2 linked regions of the Arabidopsis thaliana genome follow. The protein of the gene in region 1 interacts with the protein of each later gene in a pairwise test. Each region holds a gene or a part of one and is shown on either strand. Other genes may lie near its edges. The genes, in order: ZIM and NF-YC2.

Evidence for each region.
Region 2: the proteins of ZIM (region 1) and NF-YC2 interact in binary tests that used the Arabidopsis thaliana proteins (3 or more experiments, as listed by UniProt).

What each region holds. Positions count from the first base shown.
Region 1 is NC_003075.7:12,643,464-12,647,386, forward strand, and holds the start of ZIM (GATA-type zinc finger protein with TIFY domain-containing protein), read left to right. Parts: upstream 1-2,100; 5' UTR 2,101-2,321; coding exon 2,322-2,627; intron 2,628-2,783; coding exon 2,784-2,873; intron 2,874-2,957; coding exon 2,958-3,091; intron 3,092-3,561; coding exon 3,562-3,669; intron 3,670-3,778; coding exon 3,779-3,884; intron 3,885-3,923. Other genes in the region: CLT2 (CRT (chloroquine-resistance transporter)-like transporter 2), read left to right, coding at 1-53, 131-168, 248-363, 688-787, 880-915, 1,003-1,053, 1,259-1,382, 1,472-1,597 and 1 more. UniProt on the Arabidopsis thaliana protein: Transcriptional activator that specifically binds 5'-GATA-3' or 5'-GAT-3' motifs within gene promoters.
Region 2 is NC_003070.9:21,022,352-21,026,274, forward strand, and holds NF-YC2 (nuclear factor Y, subunit C2), read left to right. Parts: upstream 1-2,130; 5' UTR 2,131-2,445; exon of another isoform or gene 2,446-2,753; 5' UTR 2,754-2,766; coding exon 2,767-3,366; 3' UTR 3,367-3,551; downstream 3,552-3,923. Other genes in the region: MYB72 (myb domain protein 72), read left to right, coding at 33-171, 257-386, 472-1,093; AT1G56180 (ATP-dependent zinc metalloprotease), read right to left, coding at 3,892-3,923. UniProt on the Arabidopsis thaliana protein: Stimulates the transcription of various genes by recognizing and binding to a CCAAT motif in promoters.

The sequences.
Region 1 (3,923 bases):
AATCATTGGTTTTCTCGAAGCTCTTGGTGTTGCCACTGGCATGGCTGCAGCAGGTATCCCATTTATAGCATGATTGAAACTTTACATATTTATAAGGTTACATATGGAGTGATTCCACTCTCTGTTGCAGCAATGCTTCCTGGACCAGTTATACCCATTTTGAATCAGGTCTTTTGGTTTTATGATTATCTTCTTGCTCATTTGTTCTCATGGGGGTGTTGAACTCATGCCTCCCAATGTTTGGCAGACATATTTGGTGTGGCAGCTGCTTTTTGCTCTTCTTATTTTAGGCAGGAGGTTTTTGCTTAACCAAATTGCTGGTTGTCTCCTTGTGGCTGTGGGGGTTGTGGTGGCTGTTTCAAGGTATTCCTTCCTCCCTCTTCTCTTCTTCTAAAGTTACTTTTATCTTCTTGGATCTGGATGCTTGATCTTGGGGTAGAGAAATGTTTGTGTATCCGTGGTCATTTACAGATTATATCAAGAGAGTGCTTTCAGCTCTTACAATCTAGAAAACTAGTTTTCATGGACCAGAGTCACACCTATCAAATTCACCATGCTAAATGAATGGAGACGGCTCTACTTTAGTATTTATCATCCACATAGCAAATAGAAGGCCCTGATTCTAGAGAAGCTTGTGTGATAGTGATACTTTCATTTTTGTGAATGCTGACTGTAACTCATCTGCAGTGGATCTGGTGCAGATACTACGCTATCTGGAATCGGTTTCTTATGGCCTGCTGTATTGGTAGCATCCGCTGCTTTTCAAGCTGGTGCATCTATCATAAAGGTGAAGGTCGCTCTCTCTTATGAGTTGTGAACATTTCTATTTTATTTTCTTTTGCCAAGACCCAAGTTGTTAAGTGTTTTGTCTGTTAACAGGAATTTGTTTTCAATGATGCTGCAAAGCGTCTTGAGGTATCTCCCTTATCCCCTGCATCAAACAGGAATGCTTTTCTTTCGAAACTTTGCTGAATTAACTCTAAGATTAACTGGTGGATGCAGGGAAAGTCACTGGATATATTTGTGGTAAATTCATTTGGATCTGGATTTCAGGTATCTACTACTACAATATCATGTTGTAAATGTATTTGTTACAGCCAAAACAATTAGACATGCTTCTCCATTACATCAAGAGTACGTGAAGAAAACATTTGAAAGCTGCTTTCCTCTGTTATTCACTTATTATCTCTCTCCTACTTGAGAAGAGTTTTTGTTTTTTGGTTTAGTGTTACGGATCACTGAAGCTGTGCTTGTGCAGGCTCTTTTTGTGTTCCTGTTGTTGCCTTTTCTCTCAAACTTGAAAGGCATTCCATTCGCCAGCCTTCCTTCATATCTAAAAGATGGTGCCGGATGCTTCTTCAACACTGGAGCTAAGATTTCTGGTTAGAGACCATTCGACACTTGTTTTTTTTTCCTTCATTGAATTTTATTCACTGCTAAAACTTTGTGATTATCCATTTGAGAATTTCAGGCTGTGATGGTGCCCCTATACTCCCACTGCTCTATATATCCACCAATCTCGCTTTCAACATCTCATTGCTCCATCTGGTGAAAATATCTTCAGCAATCGTTTCCTCTCTTACCATGATGCTCTCAGGTCCATATTTCTATCCTTCCATGCAACGCCTCTTAAGTGTCACCAAATACTCAAACCCATATGAGATAATACTTTTGGTGTTGTTGTAGTGCCATTAGCGGTGTACATAATGTCAAAACCATTGCCGTATCTACCGGGAGGATCAAGCTTGAGCTCAAATTTTACGATGGGGTGTATAGTTCTTGTCCTAGGTCTTCTTCTCTACAACATTCCCACTACTCCAACTAAACAACACACCAAGACCTCCTAACACACTCACTCACCATTCATCCTTTTTGTGCATTACTTTTTTTTTTGTTGATAAACCAAATTCGTGTAATTTCCCAATTTTTTTTCCTTTGACCATCAAAGATACATAGAATATTCTCAGATATTTTTTTTACGTGAAAAACTAGCTTAAAGAAAAAAAAAAAAAAAAAAGAATAACAAGAAGAGAAATTTGTGATTGGTTAAAAATCCAGTAAAGTAGAGTCGTCGGGTCGTCTCGGAAGCAGTGCTGCGATTTTACCTAAAGTCACCTTTTTTTTTTACCGTCGGGTGAATTCGACGACGGTCCTAATCTCGCCTCCTCCACACGCGCCGATCACCATCTCTCTCTGTAATCGCTCTTCTCGATGTCAACTATTTCCTTCTTCCTTTGCTCTTAGGGTTAGGGTTTATTTTGTTCTTTCTCTATATCCTTCAATCAATGTGAAAAAAAAGCTCTCCCTTTTGGCAGTTTCCGATGTTTGGTCGCCATTCGATTATCCCAAATAACCAGATTGGTACCGCCTCTGCTTCCGCTGGTGAAGACCATGTCTCTGCCTCCGCTACGTCTGGTCACATTCCTTACGACGATATGGAAGAAATCCCTCATCCTGACTCTATCTATGGTGCTGCCTCCGATTTGATTCCCGATGGCTCTCAATTGGTTGCTCACCGATCCGATGGCTCTGAATTACTTGTTTCTCGGCCACCGGAAGGGGCGAATCAGCTTACGATCTCGTTCCGTGGACAAGTTTACGTTTTTGATGCCGTTGGTGCTGACAAGGTAATTCTACTCTGTCCCTCTTTTGTTATTTGTGTGAAGTCTCGATGGATGCATCTGAAACATAACATCTGATGGCTTAGGGCACGTAACGATTGCCTCTTTTGCACCTTTGTGCTTTTGCTAGTCTTAACCAAACTTTGGAAATTGATTTCGTAGGTGGATGCTGTGTTGTCGCTGTTGGGTGGTTCTACTGAGCTTGCTCCTGGTCCGCAGGTGATGGAACTAGCTCAACAGCAGAATCATATGGTAACTTTGTTATTTGTGTTCAAATTCTGCTTAAATTGTCACTTCATCTCGATTCCACCTTTTTCAGTTTGGTGTTATTTTTAGCCTGTTGTAGAATATCAGAGCCGCTGTAGCCTTCCGCAACGGGCACAATCCTTGGATAGGTTTCGGAAGAAGAGGAATGCTAGATGTTTCGAGAAGAAAGTAAGATACGGTGTTCGCCAAGAAGTTGCCTTAAGGTCAGTGTGTCAGTCTTGAGTTTTACCAATTTATGCCAAAAGCTGTTACTCTGAACAAAATTCTTTCACCTTTTCTGGGATAAAAATTTAGTATTCTTGTATAGCTAAACTAAAAATTTTCTACTCTTCTGGCTATGCTCTGGTTGCTTAACTACTTCCTCACTTTCGTGTGCTATGGATTGAAAGGAAATCTGTTCATATTCAACTAGTTTACTATCTAGCTAGTTTTCTTTTATTTGTTTCAAGAAGTTTGGTGACCATGTAGGTGTTTATGTAGAGTAGTAGGCTTCATTGTCCATGGCTTGCTGTAGTATTTGACAATATGGTTGTAGTTGAGCAGGATAGACATCTGAGTCTTTGTTAGTGTGATAAGTAGCTTTTACTGGAAATAATCGACATGTCTATTTCAATAATAAGGGATAGGATTTGTCACCTTCTCTGCCTCTCTGACCTTTGTTAGTGTTTATCAGAATGGCACGTAATAAAGGTCAATTCACCTCTTCAAAGATGACAGATGGGGCTTATAACTCTGGCACAGATCAAGATTCTGCCCAAGATGATGCCCATCCAGAAATATCGTGAGTTCTTTCTCTTCTCTGCCAATTAACTGTTCCTGCAATTTTTGTTTTCCACTAATGTGGGACATTTTGTTTGCACTTATTTTAAACGTGAGTGTGTCTTATGTAGGTGTACTCATTGCGGCATTAGTTCCAAATGTACACCAATGATGCGACGTGGCCCTTCCGGCCCCAGGACTCTCTGCAATGCCTGTGGACTTTTTTGGGCTAACAGGGTACGTATGAAAGACAAAGTGATGATAAAGACATATATA
Region 2 (3,923 bases), on another chromosome or scaffold:
GTAGCTATAGAGAAGAAAGTAGTGTAATAAGAATGGGGAAAGGAAGAGCACCATGCTGCGACAAGAACAAAGTGAAGAGAGGGCCATGGAGCCCTCAAGAAGATCTCACTCTCATCACTTTTATTCAAAAACATGGCCATCAAAACTGGAGATCTCTTCCCAAGCTTGCTGGTTAGTATTTATTCACATGCATGTTTCGGTAATACTATAAAGTTTTAAATAACTAAGAGAAATAATGATTGATATATATACATAGGATTGTTGAGATGTGGGAAAAGTTGCCGACTAAGATGGATAAACTATCTGAGACCGGACGTGAAGCGAGGCAACTTTAGCAAAAAGGAGGAAGATGCTATCATTCACTACCATCAAACCCTTGGAAACAAGTTTGTACTCTACCTATTCATCTAATTTCTTTATAATAAGACAATATATAGTATGTAGAGACTAATTGATATATGTGATCATCAGGTGGTCAAAGATCGCGTCCTTCTTGCCGGGAAGAACTGACAACGAGATCAAAAACGTGTGGAACACGCATCTCAAGAAACGACTCACTCCATCTTCTTCTTCTTCATCCCTCTCTAGCACTCATGACCAAAGCACAAAAGCAGATCATGACAAGAACTGTGACGGGGCTCAAGAAGAAATACATTCAGGGTTAAATGAGAGCCAAAACTCAGCTACTTCGTCACATCACCAAGGCGAGTGTATGCACACAAAACCAGAGCTTCATGAGGTTAATGGACTCAACGAGATCCAGTTCCTGCTCGACCATGATGACTTTGATGATATAACCTCTGAGTTTCTTCAGGATAACGATATCTTATTTCCGCTAGACTCTCTTCTTCATAACCACCAAACTCACATTTCAACCCAAGAAATGACTCGAGAGGTAACCAAATCGCAATCATTTGATCATCCTCAACCGGATATCCCATGCGGATTTGAAGACACAAACGAAGAATCCGACTTGAGGAGACAGCTGGTTGAATCAACCACACCTAACAATGAGTACGACGAGTGGTTCAACTTCATTGACAACCAAACTTACTTTGATGATTTTAATTTCGTCGGAGAAGTATGTCTATGAATGTCAATAATATATGCATGACCAGTGTTGTATCCACTTTTGAATGTTGAGTAAATTACTATTTTACATGGATTGCCCATGCATTGAGAAGATGCTATGTTTTATGAGAGCTCTATGATATTGGTTCGTTTTTCGGCTAGATTCACACAAACAACTCTTCTCTTTTCCTTCTCGATCACTCTTATGGCTGCTCTCAGAGTCTCCGTTTTCAGAGGCCAAAACAGGTCGCAGGTTGATGGCTGGCAATGGCAGCATCGACTGCTTCCGGTGTGTCGAGATCAGGCGCCACACCAAGCATCAAGTCCTGAAATCGAATTAGGTGTGTGTAAGTTTCTTAGCCTAGATACAAACAACAAGAAATATGACTCCAACTGTACTCATCATTTCAATCACTTGATATTTGCTTCCTGTAAGGGCTTCAATGTCAAAAGCTTCTGAATTATCCTAAGTCCATACATATTTGAGAGACTGAGACGGTCTCAGTGAGACCAAACAGAAGAAGAAAAGAAAAGAAAAAAACAGAACAAATACTACAAAGAATACACAAACTTTTGATTCTTGCTCCAACCGTTTATTAAAGCACATGACCTGTTTGGGATCATCACATATCACACTAGAATCACAAAAACTACAAATTTCACAGCTCCGAGCACGCAATGATTAACAGAAATCCGACAACTACACCAATCTCTTACAGATTAAAACACAAAGAAGAGAGCTTGTGTAAGTTAAACACGTATGGTAAATACATTAGCAGTAAGAAGATACCTTGGCTTCTGAAAAGTGGAGCAATTGTGGACTTCACATAGAGGGATGGAGGAGACTGTTCTGCTCCTTACAGAACAAAACTAGCGACGACTCTGCACATAATTATCGGCATAATTAAACAAAGTCTGGCTCTTTCGAACCCCAAAGAAGAGTGGCGATAGCAAAGATGGATCCTTTGCCTCTGCAACTTCTTTCGATGGTTTCCTTTCCTCTGCTTCCCGTTTCCCTTTACTCTGTTGACAATTAGGGTCAAGTTTTGATCCGGCCCGGGTGATTTACAGCCCACAAGGTCCAATGGGCTTCTTCGAAAATAAGTTTGCGCGACGTTGCAAATGTCACGTGACTTTTGTTCACGCGCACTTCACGTGTTCTTCGTTATTCTTCGAAACCGTCCGATAAAGAAATTTCTGGAATAACACAACATAACCAATGAAAAGCATACAGGTGGAAGTAACGTAAAAACTCCCGCTTTTTCGACACGTGTCAACTAGGCGGAAGATACGCACCACCAGAAACGCTTGATAAAAAGCTAACCCGCCCCAAACCCATTTATCTTAGGGTTTCGCGAGATCTCACTCTCACTGGTATGTCTGTGTTTCTTCTTCCATTTTCTGTTTCTATTGGAAACTTCTCTCTCCAATTTCGTTTTCTTCACTTCTTTGATCCTTTAGCTTTGACAAAACCGTAGTAAAGGATCAAAAGTTATCATCTTTGGTCCATGTTGTGAATCGTGCTCTGCTTGGGTCGTGACTCCCAAATCCGGATTTGAAACCAGCATATCTGAGCTTAATTCGAGCATGCATGCGCTTCTTTTTTTCTGATTTTTTTTAGACTTTGGTTCTAAATCCCTTAACTTTGGATTAACTGTCAATCTACAATTTTATATTAACAGAGATAGCTTAGCAATGGAGCAGTCAGAAGAGGGTCAACAGCAACAGCAACAGGGAGTGATGGATTATGTACCTCCTCATGCTTATCAGAGTGGGCCAGTAAATGCAGCTTCCCATATGGCATTCCAACAAGCTCACCACTTCCACCACCACCATCAGCAGCAACAACAGCAGCAGCTTCAGATGTTCTGGGCTAACCAAATGCAAGAGATCGAGCATACCACTGATTTCAAGAACCACACCCTTCCCCTAGCCCGCATCAAGAAGATCATGAAAGCTGATGAAGATGTGAGGATGATCTCTGCGGAGGCTCCTGTGATTTTTGCCAAGGCCTGTGAGATGTTCATTTTGGAGCTCACTCTACGTGCTTGGATCCACACCGAGGAGAACAAGAGGAGGACCTTGCAGAAGAACGACATCGCCGCTGCCATTTCCAGGACCGACGTGTTTGATTTCCTTGTGGACATAATCCCGAGGGACGAGCTGAAAGAAGAAGGTTTAGGCGTGACCAAAGGGACCATACCATCGGTGGTGGGTTCCCCGCCATACTATTACTTGCAACAACAGGGGATGATGCAACACTGGCCCCAGGAGCAACACCCTGATGAGTCTTAAAACTTTTCCCCTTTCGTTTGTTTGGTTGTATCGTAGTAAGGTAGCTCTGCTCTGCTGGGAACCATTTCTATTGTGTTCTGTAATGACATGTTAGTATATCCCCAGTCTATATCTATGGCAATGCAGTTTCTGTTCTCATGTGCATTAAATAATAACAAGAATGATAGAAAGAAAATCACTACTAGTAATGCCCAAAACTTTACTTCACAGGAATTCAACTATACAGCTTTCATGTGATTGCTACTTTACAACCATTTTCTTTATGCTATTAAAAGCTTGGCTCCTATTCCTTTAAAGTTTAAACCTTGTCATCCTCCACATCTCCCTTAGTGGATAAAACCTTAACTTACTTGAACATGGATCCAAAGATACAAGTCCCTTCTCGCCATTCCAGTTGCAGTCAGGTGGTTTATATACCGAGATACCGAGAGCTTATCTGCTTCGGTCTCCATGCATTCCAAATGAGTTTTTTTTTTATGGGCTGTCCGTATTAGTAATAAATTACAGAAAATGCTGGTGCTTCAATCATTTGCTTGAAGACATGGCTTCCTCAATCC